Astyanax mexicanus: one gene and its partners. The protein of the gene in region 1 purifies or fractionates together with the protein of each later gene. This does not show direct contact. Links are inferred from orthologs where the notes say so. Each region holds a gene or a part of one and is shown in the gene's direction. Other genes may lie near its edges.

Region 1 (7,469 bases):
AGACGGAGAGTCATGTGGGAAGTGTGTGTTTCTATATATATATATATATATACAGTATAAATCTGTTCATTTTTATACATCTCTAATCATCTCTACTTAGAAATCAAAGCATCCATCCGTACAGAACTCAAAGCTGAATCCCAGCTTCCTCAAAAAGTTAGTAGTTTTGTTAGTAGAAGGTTTTAGTAGAAACATTACAATTAACATTCTTAGAATAATCTGTCAATGTGTTTTCTGAATGTTCTCAGAACATTTTATTCAATGTTTTTAAACATTCTTAATAAATGTTTACATTTTTAGTTTGGTTGTATTCGTCTATGTGAGAGACGTTCTAATAACATTGTGCAAACCATCTTTATGTCAAACGTTTTCAAAACGTTACATTCAACGTTAACAGAGACTTAGAACATTCAATCTTTTAATTTTACTCGATGTTCTTAGAATGTTTTATTGAACATTTTCTAAATGTTACAAATTAACATTCCTAGAATGTTCAACTTTTACACAAAGTTACAGTTCATAGAGTAACAGTCTTAGAACATTTCTGGACGTTCTTAGAATGTTTTATGTACCATTCTTAAACATTCTGGTAGCATTGCTGCAACGTCATTTGTGTTGTTAAAGTTAACATTTTTAAAACATACACTATACAGTATAAATTGAAAAGTGATATTGTAGCGACGTTGGGAAAATGTTAAAAGAAATGTTGCATAACATTATAAGGATATCAAGAAAACTTAACAGATGAACTTGAACTTACTAAGAACATTAATAGTAACATTTAGAAAATGTTCTACTGACTATTTTTTTCGTTTGCTTTCTTTTAAGATCTCGCTTCTTTCTTTTTTCTTGTTTTTGTCTTTCTTTCGAGATCCTTTTTTTTATCTTTTCTCTTTTTTCTCTGTTACCCACTGTTATTGATCACCCCTCTACAAAGGTGCGACAGAGAACTGAGCTATGACTGGGTTTTTTATACTGTGTTTCACAGCTGATCCTAGTTTGCGCTGAATATCGCTGGGGATTCTGGGACTTGTAGTTTTTTTGTTTTTGTTATTTTGGCCCAGATCCACCAGCTCTTCCACTGCAGACTCCAGGCCCTCTACTGGTGGTTGTTGGTACATGCAGCTTTATTATAAAACCAATACAAAACTCAATCTCTCAATCCAGAGCAGAAAACAGACAGATAGATAGAAACACACAGAGCTGAGCTTTATGATGTAATTTAATGTTTCAGATCGAACTGAATAACATGATTTAATCTGCTTTTCTTACACTTAAACTCTCCTGTTTGCTACTGAATCACTGATATTATTACTGGAGCTGGAAACCCCCATTCATCACTCTCTCACCTCTCGCTGTCTTTACCCATCAGGCTCTTTGAGTACCTTGGCTCCGTTTTAAAAGAGGTCTATATCTCTGAGCAGAGTCCTAACAGAAGCCCTACAAGATATATAAATGTTTGAAATGGCAAAACGTGCAGCTCTCATCTATAATTGAGACACTGAACTGGCTGGCTTCTGCTCCACACAACTCATCCACGGCTCTCTACTCCAGTTCCTCCCGAGAGGGCTGATCTTTTCGGAAAGTGCGCCAGCCCTAAAGACCTGCCTTACGCTGTCCGTACTCTACACCACTTTAAAAAGACTCTGAAAAAGACTTTAAAAGGACTTTAAACAGATTAAAAGTCTGACAACCTCTCACATCTAAATACTAGACACAGAGTTTTTACTCACAGACTAAGATTTTGCAAATTAAGCAAGTCATATTTAAGCAAAAATACTCTCAAGGTTCGTGCTATAACGTGTAATATTGGCACTGTTTTGGTGCGATCGTAGATCAGCAATATAACACAGTTCCATTATTATCTCTGTTTATTTAAATATTTTAAAGAGTTAAAGAGGAGGAGAAAATCTGCACGATCTGTTTGGCTATAAAATAAAAACTCTGCCAGTTAAAATAGCTCCATTGCTGCTCTGTTTGTTTGTAGCTGAGCTGTTTGGTTTGTAAGCGCTGCATCGTTGCATCGTAGGTTACCTGTATGTGGCGGAGTAATACGTACATGGAGAGCTTCGGTTACAGCAGTGCATTACTGGCTGATAACGGCACTCATAGAACGCCTCTCAGCCAATCACATTGCAGGGTCGGAACTACTAACTGTGGTATAATAATTATTTATACAGCACTTTTCAGAACTATATAACAGAGCCACAAAATGCTTTACAATAAAATAATTTAAATATATAAAGCATAAATGATGATAAAATAAATGACAAACAAAAACACAGCTAAATGCTTTTGCCATTTAATTTTTGTTGTTTTTTTTATTGTTTATTTGTTCCTTATTTTAGCGTAACCTGATAATTATATATTAAATACTTGACTTTAATTTGAATTGATTTTTTTTCCCAGTCTCTTTAGAAGGTAAATGCTTGGCTGCATCGAAAATTATTCCCTCAATGTATTACCGAGTGACAATAAAGGTTAATTGATTGATTAATTAGTTGGTTGATTGGATAATTGATTGATTGATTGATTTGTAACTCAAAAAAGGGTTCCACTGTGATTCATACCATCACTATCTAGTAAAAAAGGCTATTTTAAAGTACTATATTAATCAGTTTTTTTGCAGAGAAGCTGATATACAATAGTTCCATCACTTCTTCTCTAGTTTTTTCTTGTTTTTTCTGTTTATTTTGACTCATCTCTGTTCAGTAATGACTGGATCCTCTCTGTGATGGTTGGAGTTGGTTGGAGTTGGACTGGTGATGAACTTGTTCACACGCCGGAGTGTTTACGGACGGAGGGCGTGAGGGGAAGGAACGGCTCTTCAGAAGCAGACAGGACAGCTGCAGGGTAAAATACGGGCCAGGACTTCTCCCGTGGTGGTCTCCTGACAGGCTAATGTATTCTGTAAGATGCTCAGTAATTTTCCCCAAAGGGGACGAACACTTTTTCCAGCTTCACTGGGCTGAACTACGGTATAAACGCCTCATTCTGCAGCAAGCGAGCTGAAAATACACAATATTTTACACAATATACACAAACAGGGGTGGATTCCTTTAAAAAGTGACCAAAAATATTAATACATTTTAATTAATAATTAATACAATTTAAAATAAACCCTTTTAGAGGATTTATTTATTTCACACTGTCAGATTTGCTGATCTGGACAAATTGCACACTAAAAAAAACACAAAGGTACAATATAAGTACTTCATTCCTTACAGCAGGAAGTACAGATTTGTACCATTTAACAACCCAAAAGGTACAAAAGGTAAAAAAAAAATACATTTTAGGAATACATTTGTGACCACTGTGCCTTTAAGGGTTAATTAGACCTAAATAGTTATTGATATTGAGGAGTAGAGATTAGTAGAGACTTCCTATCACATTATTTAAATTAGTTTCTGTTTATTTTTTTTTTTTAATATTTGACATTAAAACCAAAAACACACCAAAACAGCCAATAATATGTCCTAACAAACTTCGGCTTCTGTTCTTATGGATACGAGATGCATTAAAACGTGCATTGCATATCTGTAAGTACTTTATTCAATTAATTCATTTAATTAATTAAGTACTTTTACTTTTAATTTGTAGACTTTTAGTATTTTATTAAAGCAGTTTTACCCCCCTCTGCTGGCCACCAGCGCGCACTGCAGTAAACCAGCAACAAGTTCAGCTTTTCCGTAGGTCACTCTGCCCTCTGCTGTTACAATACAGGACAGCATATAAATATATAATATAAATATATATATATTTTTACTTTTTGTTCTGATTTGCTTATATACGTATGTATATATACAGCTCTGGAAAATAAATAAGAGACCACTTAAGTTTCAAAATCCGTTTCTCTGATTTTGCTATTTATAGGTTTATATTTGAGTAATGTACATTTTTGTTTTATTCTATAAACTACAGACAACATTTCTCCCAAATTCCAAATAAAAATATTCTCATTTAGAGCATTTATTTGCAGAAAATGGGAAATAACCCTAGTTTTTAATCACAGTTTAATTTCATGCATCTTGGCATCATGTTCTCCTCCACCAGTCTTACACACTGCTTTTGGATAACTGTATGCTGCTTTACTCGTGGTTTAAGAATTTAATCCGCTCAGCTTGGTTTAATGGTTTGTGATCATCCATCTTCCTCTTGATTATATTATAGAGGTTTTCAATTTGGTAAAATCAAAGAAACTCCTCATTTTGTGACAAGTGAGTGAGTATTTTTTCCAGAGCTATGAGTATATAATTAAAAATATATATTTGATTTTTTTTTTTTACTTTTGTGTCTTTTTAAAACTATTTTAATATGACAATCTCAATGTTATATTTCAATATAAATACATAAAATAGTCAAAATAATTCTGAAATCATGTTTTGAGGTGTTAAAAAGCTCAGACCTGCTATAATGAACTATAATTAATACCCCAGACTCAGGCCCGCTCCGGTACAGAGGGTGGCGGTGGAGCTCTCCTGCCCGCCGCGGTGTGAGTGTTGCCTGGCGGCGGCTGTTCTTCTGCAGCGGGCTGAAATCTGTTCAAACCCCCGTTTGAGAATTGTCAACAGGAGGCTCCGCGGTGAGGATATTCTGTGTTTTGGTGGCTGATATTAAACCCAGCGCTGCTCCAGGCAGAGCGGTGAGCGGAGAGAGTGTCTGCGGGGTACAGCGCGACTGTTTCCCCGCTGCTGCGGCTCTGTGTGCGGGGTAACGGCGGCGGCAGCGCCGGGCTTGCTGGGCCGGTTAGCATGCAGTGAAGCTTCGGGCCTGCGGGGAGGGAGTTCATACAGGCGGCACCAGGGAACCATGTCGAGCGGACGGCAGCAGCACCAGGGCGGCGGCGTGGGCTCTGTGCCCGGTACGAGCTCCGGGAGCGGGAACACCGCAAATAGCGGGAGCAGCAGCAGCGTTACGGCCAACGGGAGCAACACGGGAGGCGGCAGCGGCGGCGGAGGAGGATCCTCCAGGACACTGGGCTCCGGAGCTGAGCAGCAGCTTACGGGGACCCAGAGCGGCAGAGCTGGCTCCTCCGGCGGGAGCTACAGCAGGAAGCGGCCGCTGTATAACGGCCTTATTAATCCGTATGAGGATAAGAGCAACGACTTCGTTTGGTGAGTAGAGCCGACAAACTGCAGCTTACCGACGGGGAGAACCAAGCTGAAGGGCCGCTATTAGCGCTCCACTACCTACAGTTAGCTTAGCTTAGCATAGAATATCGTAGCATATCATAGCTATATTAGTTTAGCTAATGCTATTGCTAACGTTATGCCAGTAACGTTAACCGCTTTTCTCTGTTCCCTTTTTTCTTTCTTTGACACAAAAATAGTTAGCTAACCTAATTCTGCGTTAACATTTATCTGCATTTATTAAACTCATTTATTTACATTTATATATTTTTAATAACGTCTAAAACACGCATTACTAAAGTTAGCTAACCTAGCTAACTAAGTTGACGCTAGCTAGATTAGCTAGGTTAGCATTGCCAGTTCCTGTGATATTAGCTAGCTAATGCTATCGCTAACGTAAGTTAGGCTAGTAACCGTTTTTCTCTGTTCCCTTTTCTCTCCAAAAACAAACTTAAACTAATTCTGCGCTATGCTTTCTTTATCTTTATTTGTAGCTGTGTTTAGTTTTGTGTCGGTGTTTATAACGTTAATTATTGCTGTTTGTCTAAAACATGCAATAATATAGTTAGCTAATCTAGCTAACTAAGTTAATGCTAGCTAGTTAGCTTGTAAAACTAGTAAACGCTAACAGTTACTTCGTTAGCTCTTTTAGCTCTCAGAATAAGAGTTTTCTCGACTCTTCTAAGGTTTTTGTCGATAAAACAAATTACAGTCGTTTTGTATGTTTGTCATGTAGGTGTTTTAAGTTGTTTTATGTGTTTATATGTGTTAGTTTAGCTAACGAAGCTACCAGATTGGTGTTCCTGCAGCTGCATTATTTACAGTAGCAGGTAGAGCTGGGTAATTAATCGATATCCTAATATATTGTGGTGATGAATATGTTTCAGTAAGGATGATACGGTTTCAAAATCATTTTTGATATAAATATGTATTTTACAACATTTTACAGCATCTGCCACAGACTGACAGTCATTACTGAACTTATTAGTTGCTAGACTAATATATAATAAAATAATAATGATATCAGTTCACTAGGTCATACAGCATGGAGCTGCACAATACTGGTGGAAAAATCTTACATTGAAATATGTTATTTTTATGTTTTCTGCCATTTATTTAGAGATATTAGAAAATACAAGGCTTTTACCAGCTTTCTTCAGAAGTCAGTCATACTATATCTCACCCGGCAAATGTTTGGCATGCTAGATATCTGACTCAGTCAGCAACTGGGAGTCAGGAGCAGCGGCTATATACTGCCAATGGAAAGAGAGAGAGAGAACCTCAGGTCCTGATTCTGCGATTTCCCACAGCGAAAACAGTTGTTTTGGTTTATTTGTTTTGATTATGTAGGATATTTTTAATATTTCTACCTTATAGTTCCAACGTCCAAATACACTTAATAATAATACTATATTAATAATAATACTGTGATAAATTAGAAGTCAAAAATATGTTTGTGCAACAGACTTACAAGAAAGCGAATCACATGTCTGTGAAATGGACATCATGTACATTATGCCAGTAGCTAAACAGTAAAATGTATGATGGATTGAATTGAACATTGGAGTAAAAGTGAATTAAAAAGCACAAAAACATGCAGAGTATTTAATAATCCTTTTTAAAAATGATTTTCATTTTTTGTTTTTCAGTCCCATATGTTTCGAAATGATAGAGGAAGCTCACATGACTAAGTGTGGCCACAGTTTCTGGTGAGAAAACATTTAATTTTATCTCATGTGTATCCGTTTTTCTGCCGTAATGCTTCCTGTGATGCTGATTCTTGTTTTAATTTTTGTTTTCTAGTTATAAATGTATACGACAGAGTTTGGAGGACAGCAACAGGTGCCCAAAATGTAATTACATTATAGACAATGTTGATCAACTCTACCCCAACTTCTTAGGTGAGTGATTTAAAGAGTAAATGCGGATTATCTTTATCTGTGCAGGGTTTTCTGAAGCGCGTACACACTTTTTTTTTTCTTTTTATATTATTAAACAGTGTTAAGGTCCGCACCTCTGAGTCAGAGATATTTTATACTGTATTTTCTTTGTCGCAGTGAACGAGCTAATCCTCAAGCAGAAACAGAGATGTGAGGAGAAACGGCTAAAACGGGACCACCCTGTAAGTATACAGCATGCTCAGAAAAACGTATTGTCTTTAAAAATTCTTTCATATTTCTCAGCTGGAAAATGTCTCTACTAGGGGTGTAAGAAATTTGATATATTAGATTATTGTGATAATTACTTTTACAATACCTCAATGACTTTTATCTATTAGTTTACAATAAAAGACATCTGATGTCTGACAGGGGTTCATTTGCTGTTGTTTAAACTCTGACC
Region 2 (7,138 bases), on another chromosome or scaffold:
TTATTTTTTTTCCAGAGCTGTATATGTACTTATACTTTCAATACTTAAGTAACTTTAAGGGTAAATACCTTTTTTTGCTTTTACTAAAGTGGAAGTATAAAGAGAGGACTTCTGAGAGAGCGACTGTTTGTGGAATATACATTTTGCTGTATAATACACTATAGCCTACTGTAGCTCCTCTCATTATATCTTGTTCTGTGGTACACAAAAGTAGAAAATCAGTGAGAATCTGTTACTCTTCTCCTTTAACTAGTCTGCACGGGTCATAAATAATTAGAGAACCTCTCATTACATATGCAGGAGCAGAGATAATGTGAATAATTGATCAGCTTGAGCCTGCTGTGTCCATGACACTTATCATGTTAGCTGGCTAGCACAGTGTGACAGTAGCGAGTCACTGCTGCGTCTTACTCTACAGCTCCAATTGGAGATATTTGAAGTGGTTTTACTGCTGTATTAATCTAGACCTGACATACATTTCTCAGGTCTCTAATTTCAAGTATATGAACCCTTTGAGACACCATTCTTAGACACCAAATCTCAATGTTTCCTGGAGATTTTTCTGCACAGCTGGATCTGTCTTAGCTAACACTTTTGAGTAGACCAGTGGACATGTTATCTGATTATTTGATGATATTTTTGAACATATAAACCAACCTGCATGGTACTCCAACAAAGCCTTATACAAGTTATGTAGTTCCTCTTCTTATGCTTTTTATTATTTTTTATTTTGGTCAGACTATTTTGTTTTAATATATTTGCATAACAAATAGCTGTTGATCTGTAATATCTTAAAGTGGCAGTCAGTTTTCTAAACTGAAAGCAAAAGCATTTCTGAGTGGAGAAGGGATAAAATATTGTGTTAATTGGTAGCAGTGTGCTGGAACAACCATCCCTGCTAAGCCTAATATATTTATTCTAAAAATTGGGGTGTCGGTCGGTCGCTTTTCGCAGAAAGACATTTTCCTGCGTGCTCTCTCTCTCTCTCTGACTGAACATAACCTGGAATCGGATTCATCCGCTCTGAAAGTAGACCGCCTCACATCCTCCCAGTTTAAAATGATTCTTCCGCATGTTCGGTGCAATTACCCATTCTCACCAGAGAGGGCCCTAAATCCCCCAAATTACAAAATTTAGACATCAGCTTTAAATTGGGATTTTCCTTTTGGTTGCAGATACAATCAAAAACCTGGAATGAAAGTGTTTCAATGAGAAAGTGTTTTTTAATGGACACGTGTCAGTCAAACACACTCTAGGAAAGGTACAGTTTCTATATTATTTCACCATTGCTTTTCTCCCTCACACTGCAATAAATCTTATTTTTCTTATTTTTTGTCTTACTAAGCATTGTAAATATAAGATTATTTTTCTTATTTTATAATGAATTTATTTTAATTAGTTTTATGTAGATTTTTTTTACATTTGAACTCAAAATAATCGTTTTTTTATTTTTGCTTACCCCATTGATAGATGTTTTTCCTATGCTGAAGAAGGACAACCTCAATCAGGAAAGCCTTATACAATCCTGTACAGTGCCTATAAAAAGTATTCACCCCATTTTTTAATGCTTTTATAAATGGAGTCATAGTCTATATTATTTGCATTTTTGCCAAGAATATAAAAGTGAAAACAGACTTCAACAAATTAATGTCAGGTAATAAGTAATTAAGTAATAACATAAATATTCACTGCCTAAAAAATAAAGTCCAGACATTTTGTATGAGTAGTCTCATAATCAGTGAAATTAAGATCAGCTGGGTGCATTAAAAGTGTGACTCGTTCGTTTGGTTTAGCAGACTCACTGCCTGCATAAATACACTTTTATTTACAGGTTTGGAGGACTTTTATGTAGCATTTTCTCAGAAGATAGGGGGTAAACAGTCTTTATCAGGGACGAGCGAGATCAGTCCTGATGCTACAGGCTGTTTTATATGGCCTCATCATTAGAAGCAGTTGGGGTGAATGATGCTGCTCTCTTTTATCTCTGTTAGAAGGAGAGATGCTGTGTTTTGAATACGATTTTCCCTAAAAATGTCCGGGTCTAAAGCTTGACCAGCTGTAGGCTCCTGGGCCTGTGCTGCCCTCTGCTGGGTCCCTGGTGGTGCAGTGTGTATGTGTTTATTCTGATTTCTGCCATCCTGTCTGGCATAAAATAATCATCTAACCGGTGTAGTTCAGGTTGCGTGATTTTAAAGTGGACATGAAACATTTCAGTTTGTAGAAGTTTTCTAAGGGATTAAATATGATCATACCTGTCAAGTCTCCCGTTTTGGCCGGGAAACTACCGTATTTTACCCCTTTTTCCCGCTGTCCTCCCGTATTAGTATTTTCCCGTAAATTTTCCTTATTATAAAAAAAAACACAAAAAAACGTATGAATGAGAGATTATTCAATCTCTTGACGCCAATCATGGTGCCAGTTCAAGGAGAAAGTCCCGCCTTTCAGGAGAAACAGCCAATTAGCTTGCTAGTTTTGCGCAGTGCAGAGGAGGGTCAGTGTGGGGAAGCCCCGCCCCCTCGCTGTGAGTTCAGGCAGCTAGTCGGAGCAGCTGACGTTAAAACAGATCTCGATATACAGCGATTTATCTAAAAGAAAGGTAACGGAGCTAATCAAGTAAACTGTGATTACACTCTTTCTGGAGCTGTTTCTGCAGGTTAAAAAGACTCGTCTCCCAATCAAAACAGACAGATTTCTTTTTTTATAATTTGTTCCTTTGTATTATGAAGGAAAAGAACAAATCAGAAACAAGTGAATTGTTTACATTTGCATACTGTATTGAGGAATGGATTCACTCATGGAATATATCTGGTCCATGTCCTTTAGTAAAAGCTAATTTTGCAGAATTTGTGCACCCTTTGTTTAATTTTAAATCCATTTATATAAAATGTTTACACACTAAATTATAATATATTTATGTTTGTTACTACCCTAAACGTTTTGCCAGTGCAGTGACGTCACGATGTTGGTTGGTTGAAGAGCCCAGGTAGCTAGCGGTCACGGTTAAGGAAATAAGCTTGCTGTTTGTCGAGATTGTGGATGAAGTCGAAGCTGAACGGGGTTTTAATCAGGTTCCCAGAAACCCAATGGCTCATGCGTTTGAGTCGGCGAGGAGACGAGACAGATTACGGTACAAACGATTTATACAGAGGAGACAGCCAGCGGTTCCCGTGCAGGTGGAGAGGGTCGTGAATGCCCGGATCAGACTACACGATTTTAGCCCGATTTGACCCGATTTTGTCGGCGCCGACACATTGCGTGCGTCGGAACCGAATTTTATTGTCGCGAGCGACAAAGGTCCGTGTAGTGTGACACAGTTAAAGATCAGTAATGTGACGTGAGCGACGCCGTCGGAGCGTCCGACGGAAAGACTAGCATGTTAGAATTCGTTGTATTTTATGGCCTAGTTTGACATGCTCAGCGACGTGCTCCCTGACTATGACCAATAGGAAGACGGAGCGCTCTGTGGCGCACGGATGTAAACACAGGAAAAGAAAGCAGGACGGTGCTCCTGCGGTTCTCTGGACCAAAGAAACAGAAGAATAATCTAATAATAATCATCTAATAATCTACTTCATTCATGAAATATTCTGTTTACATTCACTGAAACCTAAGTAGCTACATCTTTACCATACCTTAACTTCTCTCTGGAGTACAAAAAGCATATAATGTCCATTTGGGTCACCCAGGAATGAGCCCACAGTCGCTTTTCCCCCTGTTTTAAGTTTCTTCAGCACAAAAGCGCTTTCATCATGCAAAGCGCTTCTGTAGCCGTGATTCTCAGATTCTATCCTCTTCCCCCGCGATGACCTACGAACTCACGCGAGGACGCGGACGATGATTGGTCGGTGACTAACCTGTAGTGTTGCCAGTCCCCCGAGAACGACGCAAAACGAAAATAACTGCTTAATCTGACATAGTGAACATTGTGAGGGACAAAAATGTTGTGTAGTCTGAGCTTGGCATAACACTAACTTTACCTGGTGCAGATGCGCTCACTGCACTGCCGTGCCGATTGCAACCGAGTGGATTTGCTGTCAGGAGGCTAACGTGAACCATTTGCTCTGATATCGTCCCTGCAGAACCCTGAGCAGAACTTTTCAGATGCTTTTCTAAGAGCGAGAAGTTTTGGAGGTGTCTATACTCTCTCTACGTGAGTTCCGTGCAGAAACCCTGGAGCCCGTCAACAGCAGGTACTGCCATACCGTTAACTAGCGTGTTTATATACATTTAGCTATTTAGCATGCAAAGACCAGAGTTCATTAAGACTGAATAAAACGTACATGATTTAAGTGGATATTAAGTTGATAAACCGTTCAGTTTGGAAGTTGCTGGGTAGCTAGCTTTATCTAGTTAGCGTTAGCTAGTTAGCTAGCGTTGGCAAGCAACCTTAACATGGCTAGCTAAGTAGCTAACGCTAGCTTTAGTAAGATAGCTAGCTAAATAGCTAATGCCAGCTGTGGTAAGATAGCTAGATACATAGCTAACGCTAGCTATGTTATCTTTTAACTGTCAGCTTATCTAGACGTTCGGTACCTCTCGCTGCTCTGCTGGGTGGGCGCGTCGTTTGGCTCCTTTCTTGAGGCTCACAGCTGCTGCTTTCATAGTAACTTACCCCCACAGTCGGACGGTCTGTACATCCCAGCTGGTAAGAGGAAAAATTAAAAAAGGAAGAAAAAAGTCTTGGACTTCAGCTTATTTGTCCGGCCAACGACTAATGACCCTGACTTAAAAACCCTCTTCTCCACATAGTCCTCGTCTCGAAAGTGCTCGCTACTAACTCACGCTTCAGCGCCGCTAGCCACAGCCGAAGAACAGCTATCCGCTTAAGAGGCGAGATATGAAAGTGAATCTTTTTCCCATTCTTCACCCTATACAATTTTACTACACCCAGGGGCAATACAAAAGTTGCCCAATTGCATCGATTTTTGTTTGGTCTGGCTTTTATTATTCATTGAGGAATTAAGTTACTGTAGGCTAATAGTTTGTAGGCGTCTGAGAATCAACCTCGTGACGTCACTTTCAGCGCTGGGACAAGATGGCGCTACACTTAACGTTACTTAAAAAAATTACATTTAGATTGCTTATTATTTTAAATCAGTTTCACTGACAACTGTTAAACTTATACGATTTGTTAAAGTTAAAATACATCTTGTAAATTATACTGAATACTTGTGTTTCATGTCCACTTTAAGCTGGTGTACAACATGAGTGAATTTATGTCATTAATATTAAAAAATATATGTATCATAGAAGTTGCTGGGAGTTGGAGGCTTTTAAGATGGGTGCTGTACTATCGCAAGTGGATTGCAATGGTTTTTCAGGTGGTTGATTATGGTGTCGCCTAGTGGTTGCTAGGGTGTTAATGAGTGGATGCTTAATAGTTGACATGGTTTCTGGCTGTCAAGTGGTTGCTGTGGTACCCCATGTGAATGTTTGGTTGTTACAAGTGTATTTGTATTATCGTTTTACCATAAGGATGCCAAAAAGGCACCAAAGTTTGCACCCTTTTCATTCCTATGGGAAAAAATGCACACAAATCCAGTGCAACATGGAAACTGCATGTCCAATCAAAAAGCTGTATTTAAATCCAAGTCACACAGTCAGACCCAACAGTCTGTAGTGTCAGTATCTTAAAAAATGGCTTTTGCAGTGCTCAGGGTTCTCAGGGGTTCCTGGGGTATTTTTCTCTTTTATGGGGGGGGGGGGGGGGGGGGGGTAGGGGTACTCTGTGATTTTATTCCTGTCCAGAACAACCATGTATGTTTTTTTTAATCAGATGTCCTCTTTGGGCGCGCGTTTCCACAGAGATCCACATAAACACAGCAGTGACTAAAAATGGAGGAGCTATTGAACGTGATGTCATGTGACTGAGAAAGCCAAAAAACTCACTGGTCCTCCTTTTTTTTTTCAATTGCAGTCCGGATGCAAGAGTTTTATCACACTTAGAAGTGTAAAATATTAGAAAACTAATCCTGTATAGATACAGGGATTATCTAATCCTGAGAAACTAATCCTGTATAGATAGGGCTTATGACAGTACCTGTTGAACGTTTTGATGCATCTTCGCATTCAAGTTTTATTTTTAAATAATGACATTTCTTTAATGAATATTAAACTCATCCAGACTTTGAAGGAACACATAATAATTTATATAGTCAAACCAAAATATATTTAGGTGGTGTCTTATCTTTGCGGTTATCTTGCGGTTTCTGAGGTTTGTAACAGAGATAATTCTTGCTCTTCTTTTCCTGGGGTGGTCTAAAAAATATATAGATGCTAACTGAGCCTTAAAAAATTAACTATACAACTATACTATAAATAACTATACAAAGTATGATAGTAACCTAACTGAGAATAGGAAGAAGTGCAGTAATACAGAATAAATAAGGTAAAAGGGAGAGCAGGTATCAGCAGATACAACAATACTGAATAACTTGTGCAAGTATTGTATTTAGTAAATAGTGTGCAGGAGTGTGAATGTACAGGATGTACTGTAAAGTGTACATCCATGACTCATCTCACCACACTGGGGCAGTAGTGATCTTCTAAATTTTTCAATCAGTGTACGCTCTGTGGCCTGTAGATGGAGTCCCAGCTTTAGAAATGTAGTTTCCACGGCATTTAACACCTCAGCAAACCGTGAGAATTAATTCACCTGTAGTAGTTTTAGTATAAAATTATTTTTTTATTATGAACTTACATCAACACATACCAGGCTCTAATTTAAACACAAATACTTATTGATTGCGGTTTATAGTAATGGCTCTCAGACAATTTACCTTTTTACTATATACAGTTCATTTTCTGAATCAGTTTATCTGATTTTGCTATTTACAGGTATTTTTGAGTAAAATTAACATTGTTGTTTTATTCTATAAAATACAGACAACATTTCTCAGAAATTTCAAATGAAAATATTGTCATTCAGAGCGTTTATTTGCAGAAAATAAGAACTGGCTGAAAAAAAGAAAGATGCAGAGCTTTCCAACCTCAAATAATGCAAAGAGAATAAGTTTATATTAATAAAGTTTTAAGAATTCAGAAATCAATATTTGGTAGAATAACCCTGGTTTTTAATCACAGTTTTCATGCATCTTGGCATGTTCTCCTCCACCAGTCTTACACACTGCTTTTAGAT
Region 3 (7,981 bases), on another chromosome or scaffold:
ATCTTAAAAATTGGCAGAAAATTGCACAGATTATATATTGTCAAAAACGGTTCTGGACAAAGCCTTTATTTTATTGATTTGCATTAGCGCTAACCAAGGGTGTGTTTCCTGTACAACCTAACATGGTGTAGTGCATCATTAAACTACCTAACCTCTCAAGAAAACTGTTGTACCTTGTTTGTACCGCTTTAGTCTGAACTACAGTGTTTCCACACATGTTTGGTCTAAATTTTACAACAGAAAACTCCTAAAGTTTGTAATATTACGCCAAAATATGAGAGTTGACTGAAATCATGTTATTAATTTGCTATGTAGGCCTTTTATTTTGTAATCATATGCCGCTTATTATAAAAACAAAGATATATTATTTATTTAATATACAGCTCTGGAAAAAAATAAGAGATAACTTAATATGATGAGTTTCTTTGATTTTATAGAATATAATCAAAAGAAAGATGGATAATCACAAACCATCAAACCAAGCTGACCTGTTTGAATTTTTGCAACAGAAGTGGCATAAAGTTATCCAAAAGCAGTGTGTAAGACTGGTGGAAGAGAACAGTGGTTGGGAAACACTTGTGTAACTTAATGATGGTTTGTTTTATGCTCATCAGTAAAACATGTTCTGCTAAAGTGTTTTATGGAGATGGTGCTGTGGAATCTGCTAAGCTTACTTCCAGCTTAATAAAACAGAACATTTTGTTTGTGCTTTGTAAGATGATTTCTACACGTGTACATTTTGTTTGTATTTAAACACACACACAAATATTCCAGGTTGTTGCTAGCTGGTTGCTATGGTGTAACTAAGCAATTGCTTAATATTTTCTGAGGTATCCCGAATGTTGCTATGGTTTTCCATGTGGTACTTGGGATATTGCAAGGTGGTTCCTACAGTTTTCTAAGTGGTTATTATTATGGTGTTGCTAGTATTTATTATGGTATCCCAGGTCTTTGCTAATGCTAGGATGTTGTTAAATGGTTGCAAGAATATCCCAAGTTGTTGCAATGCTGTTGCTCAGTTGTTGCTAAGTGGTGCAACATAACATTCATCATAGAGGAAATATGGAATGGAAGGGGGCAGGTTTGGAAGGGGAATATTTTACAGGCAGATTCCATCTTTCTTCTTGCATCTCCTTTAAATGTAGCTGCTTTATAAGGGTGTTTTACCTGTCAGATCTCCACTAATGTCCTCGTGTCTGTATTTTCATGCAAAAGAACCAGGTCACTCAGCTTTAAGAGTTATATAAATGTTGACTTTATATAACAGCACTGCCTTTGTACCATGAAAATTCAAGGTTCTACTTCTTATGAAATTGATCAAATACAGAATAGCACCTCATTCCACAGAGTTCACAACCGCTACACCCCCCATTTTTTTTATTTTTGAAGGACTTTTTCTTTTCAAACACTGGTTTTCCCTCTGCTGCGAGTTTTATCACCTCCAGTATCTCTATAACTGCATGCTCTCAGCTCTTAATGTCCAGGTTAGTGTGAAAACCAGAGAGTCTCACCACATTTAAAACTTTGCTTGTGTTTTGTACTTTTTTAAAGGAGTTGTACATATTTTTTGTACATATTTGGGTGTTTGCAACAGCCATTTCAGTTTGATATATCTAATAACTGATGGACACAGTAATATTTCAGGATTGAAATGAGGTTTATTGGACTAACAGAAAATGTGCAATATGCATTAAACCAAAATTTGACCGGTGCAAAAGTATGGGCACCCTTATCATTTTATTGATTTGAATACTCCTAAGTACTTTTTACTGACTTACTGAAGCACAAAATTGGTTTGGTTACCTCATTGAGCTTGGAACTTCATAGCCAGGTGTATCCAATCATGAGAAATTGCAGAAATGGCTTCTTTCGCATCACTCTCTCATACAGCTTCTCCTTGTGCAAAGTGCGCTGTATTGTTGACCGATGCACAGTGACACCATCTGCAGCAAGATGATGCTGCAGCTCTTTGGAGTTGGTCTGTGGATTGTCCTTGACTGTTCTCACCATTCTTCTTCTCTGCCTTTCTGATATTTTTCTTGGCCTGCCACTTCTGGGCTTAACAAGAACTGTCCCTGTGCTCTTCCATTTCCTTACTATGTTCCTCACAGTGGAAACTGACAGGTTAAATCTCTGAGACAACTTTTTGTATCCTTCCCCTGAACAACTATGTTGAACAATCTTTGTTTTTAGATCATTTGAGAGTTGTTTTGATGAGCCCATGATGCCACTCTTCAGAGGAGATTCAAATAGGAGAACAACTTGCAATTGGCCACCTTAAATACCTTTTCTCATGATTGGATACACCTGGCTATGACGTTCAAAGCTCAGTGAGGTTACCAAACCAATCTTGTGCTTCAGTTAGTCAGTAAAAAAGTAGTTAAGAGTATTCAAATCAATAAAATTATTAGGATGCCCATACTTTTGCACCGGTCAAATTTTGGTTTAATGCATATTGCACATTTTCTGTTAGTACAATAAACCTCATTTCAATCCTGAAATATTACTGTGTCCATCAGTTATTAGATATATCAAACTGAAATGGCTGTTGCAAACACCCAAACATTTAGAACTAAAAATGATTAAGATTAATAGGGGTGCCCAAACTTTTTCATATGACTGTAAGACACTAGAAGATTTGCTTTTAAATGAAGATACTATAGAGTTTTAGGTTCATGTTTTGCCTCATGAATATACTGAAGTCTTAAAAAATGTGACATTCTGCAAGGGATCTTTATGTATACTCATATTAAGTGTAGATGAGGTCAAGTTTGTGTCTGAGGAAATTTCTATTTAATTATATAAAAGAATGCATTTGCTTTACTATATTCTTGTACAATGCTTCTCATAAATTCACAATTATAATGTAGCTCACCTTTCTTTGGGTGTTTTGTTCTAAACTTTGGCATTGATTTAATGTTGTTTTGGGCCAATAATGTACTTGAACTGTTACCTGGGCAAATGTCGCTTGAATTATTTTCATATCACAGTCTTACAGCACACCATATTGTGAATCATGCAATGTTTTTTCTTGTGGTATTGTGGTATCTGGTGGTGTACCAAGTAACCTTGAAGGATACATGTGCATGTTCTATTTCCGCTGGATAACTGCAGAGTAGACATTAGTCTAACTGCAGTTATTACAGTATGATTACCTGTGACTCAGACCAAACTCGTCCCAGTTTGAATGTCAGGACAAAAAAAAAAACACTGCAACAACCAGCTAGTGCATGACTACAGTAAATGACATGGAAATTTAGCCTGCACAAAAGAAAACCTTGTTTAAGAGTCACTGCTATTTCTGTTTTTGAAAAGCAAGAACACACGACTTACGAGAAAAAACCCACCTTCAGCACTAATGTACACTAATGTTCAGCTTCCTCCTGAGCACCTCTAATACCAGGCTGAGCAGGGTCTCCTGCTGTTTAGTGACCAGGGCGTGTGTGTGAGTGCTTCCATGGGACAGGGAGCAGGGTAACAAGTGATGGTGGCCAGCAGTGAGGACAAGGCAGCAGCACAAAAGCAGGGGAGGCTGATCTCATTCACGCTGCATAATAAACAAATGTGAGTGTGAACCAACTCAGACGTGATAAACATTAGGGAGGGCAGGTGTGAGGGCCCCTGCTGTTGCTCATAAAGGCCTGGAAATCCTGCTGTTCACACACACACATACACACACACACACGCACACATGCAGAGGTGAAAATGTTTAGGTTAAAAAGTTCCATCCTCGCTAAAAGTAAGGAATGCAGAGCTTTAAACTCTTGAACACTTCAGAAGCACTGGTGGTTTCCTGAATGCATTGCATTTATTTACTGATTAGTTATCCTTGTAATAAGGTTACAGGGCATACTGAGCTAAATTATCAGTTAATCATCAATTTGATTTAAAAAAAGTAAAACTTTAGGTCAGATGAGGTAAGATTTGGAGGCATGAAAATGAGATATTTATCCACAAGAATTATATGCTAGCTGTTAAGCATGGTGGTGGCAGCATCATGCCCTGTTGCTGAGTGGAACAATAAAAAGGACGACTAAGGCTAAGACTAAGGTTTCATAAAATAATGTTACTGATCCCTCTGCTCCAAAAACTATACCTTCAATCTCAACTATAGTTTATAACTGATCACAAACAGCACCAACTGTTAAGCAGGGTGTTGGTAGCATCATGCTTTGCTTTCTTTTTATATTTTTTTACACTGTACATTTAATATTGAAGACATTATAGTTATACAGGAATACATGGATGTTTTTGTAAAAAAAAAAAATAAAGTTAAACAAACCAGAATATGTTTTATACTTTATATTCTTCTTAGTAGCCACGTTTATCTTTGAGGACAGATTTGCAGACTCTTGGTATTTTAATCTCAGTGTCTTCATGAGGCAGAGTCACCTGGAATAGTTTTCTCAGCATCTTAAAGGAAGGAGTTCCTGGAGGTGCTGAAAAACAGTTCGCTCCAGCACATCCCAAATCACCTAAAACGAACCATACATCTGTGACACATACAGCTATGGATAAAAATAAGAGACCACTTAAAAATGATGAGTTTCTTTGATTTTACCAAATTGAAAACCTCTGGAATATAATCAAGAGGAAGATGGATGATCACAAACCATCAAACCAAACTGAACTGCTTGAATTTTTGCACCAGGAGTAAAGCAGCATAAAGTTATCCAAAAGTAGTGTGTAAGACTGGTGGAGGAGAACATGCCAAGATAAATGAAAACTGTGATTAAAAAAACAGGGTTATTTCACCAAATATTGATTTCTGAACTCTTAAAAATGTATGAATATAAACTTCTCTCTCACTCTCTCTCTCTCTCTCTCTCTCTCTCTCTCTCTCTCTCTAATAAACTGAGCTACATGCTGAGTGTGCTGTGCTGAGCTAAGCTCCTCCCCCTCAGACTCGCCTCGCGCTAAAAGAGCAGGGCTCCTCGCGCAGCTTCAGTCAGCGGTCGACTTTACATAAAACCAGAGAAGCGTAGAGAAAACAGAGAGAACCGCGGAGCTGCGAGTTTACACTGGAAACACCCCACAGAGATTCCCCCCACGCTGCTGGAGAACGCACACACACTACACCGGCTACAGGGAACTACAGGAATACATTAACGCTGCAGTCCGCCAGTTTTAAAGCCTGCTCTCGGATATTTCACCGCCCGCTGCGTGGAAACATTCAACAGGTCAGTATGAGCGACCAGCCTCAGAAAGGGTTACGATAAAAACACTAACATTAAATAGCGTTTACTTCTGTTTTATTGAGGCAGGCGTGTATAAAGCGATGTAAATATCACTAAACATCGTGTTATGTGTTTTATTTTTATTTAATCGTAGTCATAAAACAAGTTACAGCTCAGCAATTAGCTAGGTTACTGTTATTCTGAAGTTCTCTTCAATTTGCCGTTCCACCTTAAAAATCCTGATGCTAGCGGTTATAATCTGGTGTCTGTAATTACATGGGGGAATAGAGCTGCTGCGCCATTTAAGGTGGACTGAAAAAATATATAAAATAAATAAGTCTGCACCTCTGATTATAAAGGATATAGCTAGCTAATGAGCTTAGACACAGTTTGTTCCTTCTGTTTGTGTAACATCTTTGCTAATTGAGGCGTTAATGTGGCTAACCCATTTTGTGGTGGTCCTTAATCCAATTTGAGAGGGATCACCCGCCCCTGGTGACGACCACCATGAGTCATTTCAGAGACTCATTAGTAAGATATGAACCAGTGATGAAGCAGTGAGACAGTTTTCAGCCTGGGACTTAAAAGTTAAACTGTTGTCCACAGAGATTAGAATACTCACAAAACTCTGGGTCACTGAATTCAAATTGTAACCAGCTGTTTCTTGGTGTATGTAACTTCAGGTTCCTTTAAATGTGTGACCTCAGCATGGACCAGGTGACCCCCCTGTCTTCAGGCTACAGATGCTTGAAGGTAAGTGTGTTGGAAAGCCTTGTTACTTAGAGGTGGCTGATATGTTTTATATAAAAAAAAGTATTATATCACAATATTTAAGGATGTTTTCACAATACACAGACAAATGCATGACATGCGTGATGACAGCAGATTCCTTAAAACATCTATTCAAATACTTAAATATTTTTATATTCAAAGATGTGCTGCTCATCATCAAGTTATAACTTGATAAGCACTAAGAACACTCTCTGTAATGAAATGTTCTCAGTAGATGAGTTGCTGTCAGTGTTCTTTAAGCTTGGACAAAATCTGTTATATTCTCATGAAACCATATTGTGTATAATGGTATAATAAAACATTACCTCATCTGGTACCCATGTGGAATATATCTGTATTAAGTGGCAGCATGATTTAGTAGGTCAAAGCTATTGTTAAATGTTGTTTCAGAATGGTAGAATGCTTATAGTCTCTTGTCCTACTGCAACAGCACTATGCTAGTGCTTTTTTTCCCAGACAGTTTAAGTGTGTTCAAGGACAGTCCAAACTTAGGCTTGTATGGCTGGAGTATGTCTGTGCTGTGTATGGGTCATATTTTTTAAGATTATTGTGAACATATCTTCATTATATCTGTTATTTGTGATGCTGCTTAGTGGGCAACAACTCTGCTTTACCTGAGGAAAAGTATTAAGAGTTCAATTCACTGGGTGCATTTAGCACACCACAGTAGACCAATAAAAGTCCTTGGGCAAGATTTATAACATTACCTGTGCAACATGGTTCGGATGTAAACTGTGTTAATAGAAACATTATGTAAAATTAATTCTGTAAATGTATATATGTGTATCTGATCTAAACAAAGGTGCGTTTAAGTGTTGCCTTAAATTTAAACAGCCGAAACAACATGCTAGGTGTCAGAGATTTGCTTATTTAGCTTGTACAATAACTGCACTGTTATATTAGCTATCAATAATGAAAGTCTATTATGTCAACTGAAAACTTTTGTTTTTGTTGTGAGACAGGAAAGTGTTTTTATTATTTGTATTAGTCTGTTAACTTCAATGCATTTAAAAGGAGCTTATCAAATTGTACATTCTAAATGATACTGTCACTGTTCACAGCAGCTTTAATCAGTTAGTTAAAGTGCTGTGTTGAAGAACAAGCCTGTCAGAGATGCTGTTTTGCTGTAGATGTGCACCTTTTCACAGAGATAATAAAGACGTACAGCGGTAGCTTCACCGCAGCCGGTGTGGGAAAAAAATCTGTGTCAGCACTAATCTAATCTAAAGAGAACAGTGGTTGTTTTAATCTGATCTGAAGAGAGTAGGGTTGCTGCTGCCTTATTGGAAGAGAGATCGTTTGGACTCTGAGCTGCCAGCGCCCACACAGCCCCTCTGCTGCGGAACAGGAAGGCCAAATATGGTCGTATGCTGGCTGGCGCTGGCTGAAGGCAGTTCACTCTGGCAGCTAGAGTTTGAGCAATCAAGGCAGTTGAGAGAGAAAGAGGGAGTGCCTTCTGGGTTTTTCCTGCTGCATGTTATCTATGTACTACATTACCAACGTGCCTTTTAACTTCCAGACTGAAGTTTTAATGATTCATTGTCTAGGTTTTATGAACAGAACGAGAGTGCCTGTCAATCATCTGTTAATGACCTGTGTGTGTGTTCTTCACACATAATTATACCCAATATCCCAATTAGTGATATTACATAATGGCCTTTTAGTGTAATAAAAGTAATAAAGCAATAATTGTAATGCATTCCCTGCTAATGAAGTGATTTGTTTTGTTTTCACAGAGGCAGGTTGCCTTTGAGTTGTTTGACGACCCCATGTCTTTATTCTCTGGGTTTTACTCATCTGTGGAGGAGGAGCAGGCAGCTCAGGAGGTTCCATCAGGCCTGGAATGTGTTCCACAAGGTGAGATAACATCAAAGTACAGGAGAAATAGATAGATAGATGTTTATGTGAGGGGTAAATAAAAATGTCATGGCTAGTTCAGTTCAGACAGACAGTGTAAAGCCATTCCATGTTACAAACACAACCTCATTAGGTCTTCTATTCAAAGATAATGA

The links. Proteins that work in one complex are often made in the same cells at the same time.
Region 2: the proteins of cop1 (region 1) and etv1 purify together in Homo sapiens (affinity purification with mass spectrometry; 4 studies listed by BioGRID and IntAct, counting the BioPlex papers as one, with this or other methods). This does not show direct contact. The link is inferred for Astyanax mexicanus from reciprocal best matches to the Homo sapiens genes COP1 and ETV1.
Region 3: the proteins of cop1 (region 1) and ets2 purify together in Homo sapiens (affinity purification with western blotting; 3 studies listed by BioGRID and IntAct, with this or other methods). This does not show direct contact. The link is inferred for Astyanax mexicanus from reciprocal best matches to the Homo sapiens genes COP1 and ETS2.

What each region holds. Positions count from the first base shown.
Region 1 is NC_064415.1:58,593,226-58,600,694, reverse strand, and holds the start of cop1 (E3 ubiquitin-protein ligase COP1), read left to right. Parts: upstream 1-4,468; 5' UTR 4,469-4,809; coding exon 4,810-5,114; intron 5,115-6,778; coding exon 6,779-6,838; intron 6,839-6,932; coding exon 6,933-7,030; intron 7,031-7,186; coding exon 7,187-7,251; intron 7,252-7,469. UniProt on the Homo sapiens protein: E3 ubiquitin-protein ligase that mediates ubiquitination and subsequent proteasomal degradation of target proteins.
Region 2 is NC_064425.1:25,611,794-25,618,931, forward strand, and holds the start of etv1 (ETS translocation variant 1), read left to right. Parts: upstream 1-4,085; 5' UTR 4,086-4,190; intron 4,191-7,138. UniProt on the Homo sapiens protein: Transcriptional activator that binds to DNA sequences containing the consensus pentanucleotide 5'-CGGA[AT]-3'. Required for olfactory dopaminergic neuron differentiation; may directly activate expression of tyrosine hydroxylase (TH).
Region 3 is NC_064427.1:35,514,647-35,522,627, forward strand, and holds the start of ets2 (protein C-ets-2), read left to right. Parts: upstream 1-4,928; 5' UTR 4,929-5,180; intron 5,181-5,860; 5' UTR 5,861-5,870; coding exon 5,871-5,930; intron 5,931-7,705; coding exon 7,706-7,826; intron 7,827-7,981. UniProt on the Homo sapiens protein: Transcription factor activating transcription. Binds specifically the DNA GGAA/T core motif (Ets-binding site or EBS) in gene promoters and stimulates transcription.